2 linked regions of the Macaca mulatta genome follow. The protein of the gene in region 1 purifies or fractionates together with the protein of each later gene. This does not show direct contact. Links are inferred from orthologs where the notes say so. Each region holds a gene or a part of one and is shown on either strand. Other genes may lie near its edges.

Evidence for each region. Proteins that work in one complex are often made in the same cells at the same time.
Region 2: the proteins of DNAJC7 (region 1) and IFT122 purify together in Homo sapiens (co-immunoprecipitation; 3 studies listed by BioGRID and IntAct, counting the BioPlex papers as one, with this or other methods). This does not show direct contact. The link is inferred for Macaca mulatta from reciprocal best matches to the Homo sapiens genes DNAJC7 and IFT122.

Annotation. Positions count from the first base shown.
Region 1 is NC_133421.1:66,317,625-66,321,555, reverse strand, and holds the end of DNAJC7 (dnaJ homolog subfamily C member 7), read left to right. Parts: intron 1-1,248; exon of another isoform or gene 1,249-2,526; coding exon 2,527-2,589; exon of another isoform or gene 2,590-3,051; coding exon 3,052-3,089; 3' UTR 3,090-3,306; downstream 3,307-3,931. UniProt on the Homo sapiens protein: Acts as a co-chaperone regulating the molecular chaperones HSP70 and HSP90 in folding of steroid receptors, such as the glucocorticoid receptor and the progesterone receptor.
Region 2 is NC_133407.1:154,425,267-154,428,915, forward strand, and holds part of IFT122 (intraflagellar transport protein 122 homolog), read right to left. Parts: intron 3,070-3,649; coding exon 2,898-3,069; intron 1,447-2,897; coding exon 1,344-1,446; intron 1-1,343. UniProt on the Homo sapiens protein: As a component of the IFT complex A (IFT-A), a complex required for retrograde ciliary transport and entry into cilia of G protein-coupled receptors (GPCRs), it is required in ciliogenesis and ciliary protein trafficking.

The sequences.
Region 1 (3,931 bases):
CTGCCCAACATGGTGAAACCCCATCTCTACTAAAAATAAAAAAATTAGCTGGGCATGGTGTCGCACGCCTGTAGTCCTAGCTACTTGGGAGGCTGAGGCAGGAGAATCGCTTGAACCCGGGAGGTGGAGGCTACAGTGAGCCGAGATTGCGCCATTGCACTCCAGCCTGGCAACAGAGCAAGACTCGTCTCAAAAAAGAGAGGCCCTGACCCGTGAACGGTGCACAGACCTACCATCTCTTCCACTAAGAAAATCTCGGTTCACTGCAACCTTTGCCTCCCGGGTTCAAGCAGTTCTCCTGCCTCAGCCTCCTGAGTAGATGGGATTACAGACACCCACCCCCATGCCTAGCTAATTTTTGTATTTTTAGTAGAGACGGGGTTTCACCATGTTGGCCAGGCTGGTCTTGAACTCCTGACCACAAGTGATCTGCTGGCCTTGGCCTCCCAAAGTGCTGGGATTACAGGCGTGAGCCACTGTGCCTGGCCTTCTATTGCAATTTATTTATTTGTTTATTTTTTTTATGTTTTTGAGACAGGGTCTCACTCTGTCGCCCAGGCTGGAGTACAGTGGTGCAATCTCAGCTCACAGCAATCTCCACCTCCCGGGTTCAAGAAATTCTCCTACCTCAGCCTCCTGAGTAGCTGGGATTACAGGCACCTGCCACCACACCCGGCTAATTTTTATATTTTTAGTAGAGACAGGGTTTCACCACATTGGCCAGGCTGGTCTCAAACTCCTGACCTCATGTGATCCGCCCACCTTGGCCTCCCAAAGTGTTGGGATGACAGGTGTGAGCCACCGCACCCAGCCAGAATTTAAAATAAAAATGATGGTACTATATAGATAATACTGAGTCCTCTCCAGTTCAGTGTGGGGGGATTTGTGTTTAATAAACCTAGGTTCACCATAATAAACATGTTCCTCTGCCCAGCAGTTAAGAAGAGCTATAAGCAGTCAAAAGCTAGTGAAGAGTTTTTGTTTTGTTTTGAGACGGAGTCTCGCTCTGTTGCACGGGCTGGAGTGCAGTGGCACGATCTCGGCTCACTGCAAGCTCTGCTTCCTAGGTTCACGCCATTCTCCTGCTTCAGCCTCCTGAGTAGCTGGGACTATAGGCGCCCGCCACCATGCCTGGCTAATTTTTGGGGTTTTAGTAGAGACAGGGTTTCACTTTGTTAGCCAGGATGATCTCAATCTCCTGACTTCGTGATCCGCCCGCCTTGGACTTCCAAAGTGTTGGGATTACAGGTGTGAGCCACCGCGCCCGGCCGTGAGGAGTTTTAAGTAGGGGCACTGTGGACCAGATTTTGGCTCTGGAAATATATTTGTGATAGAGGTGAGGAGGTGGTGGTTGGAGGGAGTAAGGAGGATGGAGATGGAAGGAAGACAAAAGGTAGGAAAGGATTGGAGGGCACAGTCGGGAGTTAGTGGTAGACTCAGCAGGAGTTGGTTGCTATTCAGATGTGTTGGGGAGAGTGACAGCCATAGCTGACTCTTGGGGTCATTCACTAAGCAGGGGAGGCCCAGGAAGATACGCAGATGCAAGCAGAGAAACTCACTCTGGGCACAAGGTGGCTGTGGGATCACCTGGTGGGGATCAGTCCTTCTGTGTAGCTTGGGAAGTCAGTCAGGGATGGGGCCATCAGACATGCTGTGGCCTCGCAAAAGTGCACAGTCAGTCAGGCAGGAGTTGGATTTTCCAGTTCTGCTGCTTTCGCTGCCATGTGATCATGGGCAAGTTCCTTGAACTACCTACACATGTTTTGTTGAGTATTAGTTGGGAATGATACTTACCCTGACAAATCATTACTAGGATTAACTAATGTAATGTATGCAAAGTACCCAGTACCTTGCACCTAGTAGGTGTTTTTGTTGGTTTGTTGTTGTTGTTATTGAAACAAGGTCTCGCTCTGTCACCCAGGCTGGGGTGCAGTGTTGTGATCATAGCTTACTGCAGCCTCGAACTCCTGGGCTCAAGCAATCCTCCCACCTCAGACTCCCAAAGCGCTGGGATTGTAAGTGTGAGCCACCATGCCCAGCTAATAAACCATAGCTTTTTTTCTAGCCTAGAGTCTACAGAGTAAAAGACATGGAATCAAATACGGTAAATCCTAGATCTTGTTCTTATATTTATTTTTGGTAACATTTAAGTGACACATTTTATCCTTTTTAGTAGCCGCTCCAGCATTATAGGGAGACAGAGTATGGGGAAAGTCTTGTGTAAGTGCAAATAGCATTCCATTTGTTGAGAAAACAGCCCAGCGAAGCACGCTGAAGCGGAGAAAGCTTTCCTTTGGGGCAGCACTTGGAAGGAGAAGGGAACATGTCCTAGGAGTGGGATCAGGTAGCATGTTTTGCACGGGGTGGGGCAGGTTGGCTCACCTGCAGTCTGAAGTGTTGGGAAAGGAGGGAGTGAGACTCTCCAGGAAAGCTTTGGAGATCTGTTCTCAGTGTCATCAGTTCTCTTCAAACATTTCTAATTTTTCACCTTTTCTTCCCTTCCATGTTACTTGCCTTGCTCTACAGATTTTGATCCAAACAATATCTTCAAGGCTTTCTTCGGCGGTCCTGGAGGCTTCAGCTTTGAAGGTAGGTGGGCCTGCTGTTGCTGGGAGTTCCCAGATCACAGGCCAACACACTCACTGCCACTTCGGCAGCTCTTCGGGAGTCAGCGGGGCCATGAGAGGGGGCGGCTGAGTTCTCATCTAGCATGGCATCTATCCACTCGGCTGTTGCTAAGGATGAAGACAGGAAGGCACCCCTTGCCTTGGGACCTTTAGCCACTGCATCTCTGCAGGGTCAGGGGGCATCTCTGACTGCCTACTGCCGAGGCTTCTCTACAAGAGCAAAGGTGTTTAGAAGCTGCCTACGTATAATACGGTCACCTGCTCCTTCTTGCACCCCAAAACAGCCTGAGCTGTTTGATACCCATAGAGTTTCTGTCTGCGTTTGAGTTTGAAGCAGCCCTTGAAAACTTTTCCATAATCAGAGCAAAGTGATCTTCCCTAGAAAATCCAGAGCCAACTACCAAGCCCTTCTTTTCTCTTTCAGCATCTGGTCCAGGGAGTTTCTTTTTTCAATTTGGCTAATGAAGGGCAACCACCCAGAACCCAGAAAATGCAGATTCACTCAGTTTAATCTTGAATGTGGAAACAGTTCACCTCCTCCCTTCATCACGTCTCCATGTACTTAGAGCAGTTTCGTTTTCTCAGTTGGATGCCCTGTGTCTCTGTGAGTGGGGTGGAGCAAAGGGAACCAATGCCGAAGACCGCGGGCAGGGGAGGGAGGCGGGGGTGGACAGGGAGGCAGCTTGTGAATTTTTGTTTTACTGTTTAACTTTATTAAAAAAGAAAAAAAAAAAGAAGAGAATAAAATGTTTTGACCCTTTCTGGCCCTTTGCTCTGGCATCTGCTTTGTCTCCATAGTCTGTGAGCCAGAGCTGAGCCCGACCTGGACTTGGGGTGCAGCAAGCTGCCACAGGTAGGCTGTGAGCACCGAGCCTAGTGGCAGGTGGGGCACTCTGCCTCTCCCAGACCTGTCCCACATGTGAGTGCTAGGCAGGCCCTGGCTGTGCCGCTGGGCCCAGCCTGACATCAGTCACGAAGAAGCGAGTTCAGAAAGCATGCTCACCTTACAGTGGGGCCCCAGAAATCACTAGAAGCTGTGTGCGTCCAAAGCTCAGGTGGGTACTGACCTAGACAGGGCAGTTTACTTACAAAGGCTCTCTCAGTTCCTGTTGCAGTGTGGGTTCGAGGGAGATGGTAGACAGAGATAAAACCCTGCCTCTTGACCCCCAGACCTGTTTGAAGTGGGACGGGTGGCTCCAGAGCTCTGGTCTGGCCACTCACTATTTTTAGCAAAAGCCCCTGGCCTTCTCTGCTCCCTTTCTGCGTGCAGGAGACACGCTGCTCACGGATGCAGCGGCATGTAC
Region 2 (3,649 bases), on another chromosome or scaffold:
TCAATCATTCCTACACTGTTTAACAGATATTTTCTGAGTACCTACTACGTGGCCAGCCCCTTGAGATGTTGGTGGCTGATAGTGAAGCACTTGTAGCCATGACACTTGCCATATGTGGGCATTCAAATGATCCTAATCCTCTGCCTTCAGAGAAGGAGAAGGTCTGGCCTTTGTTCCATTCTCATATACAATCTCTTGTCTGAGTACCAAGTTACTATGGTGATGGATTCTTGGAAGGGCAGACACAGACAGATGGATAGGTTGATGTGTTTTGCCCAAACATGCAGATACTTCAGCAACTGGATGCTCTGGAAATGCTGAAGCAGCAGAGAATGCGCTATCCTTCAATGAGGGCTTTCGGTTGAGAGCTCCAACAGGGAGACATTTGTTCTGCAATGTGTCCAGAGGTGGCAACGGTTACCATATAGAAGTGTAAATCAGATGCTATGGAACATGAAACACCCAACTTCAATTAGAAGGCTAAATAGGCAGCAAAACAGAAAAATCAGGTTCCCCAGTCAGAGAGGTACTGGTCCAATTCTGGCTCTCCTGCTGACTAGATTTGTGACTTGGCATGGCACATTTAGCCTCTTCATCCTTGCACAGCTGTTGGCAATATTCAAGGTTACATAGGTTAAGTGCTCAGCCAGGGCCTGACACAGAGAGGGAAGTCAACTTAAAAAAAATATGATTAATAACATCAGCGAAAGTTCTATACTTGCTTTGGCTCCAACTTCAGATGCCGTTGTATGTTTTGTGCAGCCCATTTTACCAACAGAAATCTTGAGGAGCAGAAGTCACCCATTTATCTGAGCCAGAAATAGAAGCTGAGTTTCTATTCTCAGTAGAGGTGAGACCATGCCTCACACTGTGTGGCAGTCCTCCCTTATTGTCCTCATGGCACCCTGGCTCACATTACCTCCCTGCCACTTCCTAGCTATGAAACTTCAGGCAAATTTCTTCACCTCTTTACCCTTCAGTTTTCTCATCTGCAAAATGGGAATCATAATGATGGTAGCTATACCATAGGGCTGTTGTGAGGATTAAATGAGAAGATACACTGCAGTGCACAGCACTTTGCTCAGTAACCACAGAGGCTTGGAGAGGAGGCAGCACCTCTTAAGGGCCTGTAGCAAGTGAGTGTGGCCCAGGAGGGTGTGACTCCAAAGCCAATGGTCTTTCCATGCTCCATAGTCTTTCACCACCAAACAATCACATCCCCAGGATGAAGTCATCTATCTTGGGACCTACAGATGGGAAGGGCTTGGTAGCCTTCCTGAAATGTATGTCTTGGCAGTGACTTCTCCTGCTCCTTCTAGAAGGTGACAGTCTGTGTTGCCTACCTTTCTGGGCTTCCTCAAAGCGATCGTTCTCTGCTAGCCACTGAGCATACGGAACGTAGATGTCATCCTTAAACTCAGGATGCTTCTCACCCAAAGCAAAGGCCTGGGGGAAGGAGCAAATGAAGTCTTAATAAAACTGCCCCTGCAGCCCCCATGAAAACACTGCACTTGGCTGAATTCATTAGGGATGTCATATTTTGCCAGCCTGACGACTCAGAGAGGGAGAGTGCCTCCCCCAAAAACTACCCACAGAAACGCAAAAACAAATCAGCTCTTCGAAAACAAAAGGCAATTAACAGCAATATGCAAGCGACTGGATTCAGTAACAACACAGTCTGTTTCTGGACCACAGAAGCGGCACAGAATCGGAAACATTTTATTTTGAGGGTTTGCGTGGGCTCCTGTAGTGCTGCAAACAGATTTCTTTTAATTGCAGGCGATACCTAAGGAAACAGAATTGACATTATCATCATTACCACTTCTTATCAGTTGTCAAAGATGACTGTGGGCCTTGAGCTGTATGGACCCACTGACTACTTCTCACCTAAGCCCCAGAATCACCTGTCAGGCCAGGAGAACTGGACATGAGCCATGGGGAGAAAGTCTGCCTGATGCACAGCGAGGTCTGAGTCATTCTAAGATGCTCTAATCTACGCTGCTTGAGAAATCTAATAAATTTCTCTTGAGAAGCCACCATTGCCTCTGTCCCTAGCCCCACCTTTTCTCATGAGTGACCTCAACACCTCACCAAATGGAGCCATCCAGAGAGCAGACAACAGTCAGATGGCTCCTCTCAGTGAAGGCTTTGCTTTCACTCTAAAATGGACCATGACGGGTGGGTGGGTGAGTCGGGGGAGGATCTTGGCACAGCTCCTAATCCTCTCGGGGATGGATTTCTCTGAAGGGCACAGGGAGCCGGTGAGCTGGAGGGTGGGGGTTGGCCACAGAAGGGGCAGCATTAGCTGCTTCTGCCAGCCATGGCCACTTTTCTCACTGGCCTGGCTAATTCTTTACAGCCCCCAACACCAGAGAGAGAAGCAGTGGTTGTGGGGTGGGGGCAGAGAAGGGAGGGAAAAAACTGGCCCCTGAAATGACTCTCGCAGTCTGGATCTGGAAAGCACAGATGGTGCTTTCTGCCAAAATGTTGCCCAGCAGGTTTTAAATGTCACGCAGGTGCATCTTCACATCAGCCACGTGTCTGAGCCTGTGGTGCTGGTCAGAGGCAGCTCAGCCCAATGGCAGGCACTGGAGCTGTTGTGTTCACACTCACATCCCCGGTGCCTGTCACCACCCTGGCACAGAGCTGGCTGTCAGTAACGATTTTCTCAATGACTGAATGAACGGACAAGTGGAAAGGCGCTCCACTTCGAGGTTAAGTTGCTCAGAGAATTCGAGGTTCAGAGAATTCGAGGTTAAGTTGCCTGACTGCCAGCCCAATGTTCCTTTCATCACGAGGGCAACTTCTCTCCATTTGAACCCCAAAGGGCCCCTGTACCCACCCGTGTCCCAGGGCTCAGGTGGGGCCCCAGCCCACGAGGCCTGCTTTCCCCTCACCTCATCCCAGCGCTGGGTCTCCACGTGCAGCTGCACCAGGGACTTGAGGTCACCCATCTTCAGGTAGGTCTCGGCAGCATAGCCAGGGCTGTCCAGCTTCTTGAGGTAGGTAGCACACAGCAGCAGCGGCTCGCGCTCAGCCTTGTCCAGCTTGCGGGCGATGTCGATCAACCTGGAGAGGAAAGGGGCAGGTAGGAGGGGGGGCTCTGGGTCTTGTCAAGGGCAGGCCGTATGTCCATTCACCCTGCAGTCCCCAATGTTGATACCGTGCCATGGCCCCTGCGAGCTGCTCAGTGGTTAGTTATTAAATGCATGAATACACACTCCAGAAACATCACCAGGGACCGGGAGAGGTGGCCTTTACAGGATCCCATCAGCCACCTCGTGTATCTTTCTCAGAAGTCACTGAGCTATCCAGCAGGGCATAGAAACAATTATCTCCTAATCCCCTACCAGTACCCAGATAATGCCATGAGCTTTCCCATGCATGAAATCAGAATCTTCACCACCCTAAGAGGTGGGCACTATTATTTCCATCTCTCAGATGAGAATAAAGTCTGGGGGGAAGGTGAAGCACCCAGCCCAAGACTCAGCAGCCAGGAAGTAGCCCAGTGCTCTTTCCACCACAGGTGCAGGAATTCTCACAGAAAAGTGGAGGCCAAGGCATAAGAATACCTCATTGACTGCCCTCTAAAGGAAGAGGTGAGTATGGGGTCTGCTCGGAGCTCTGGACAAAGGCCTGCAGGAAGTCT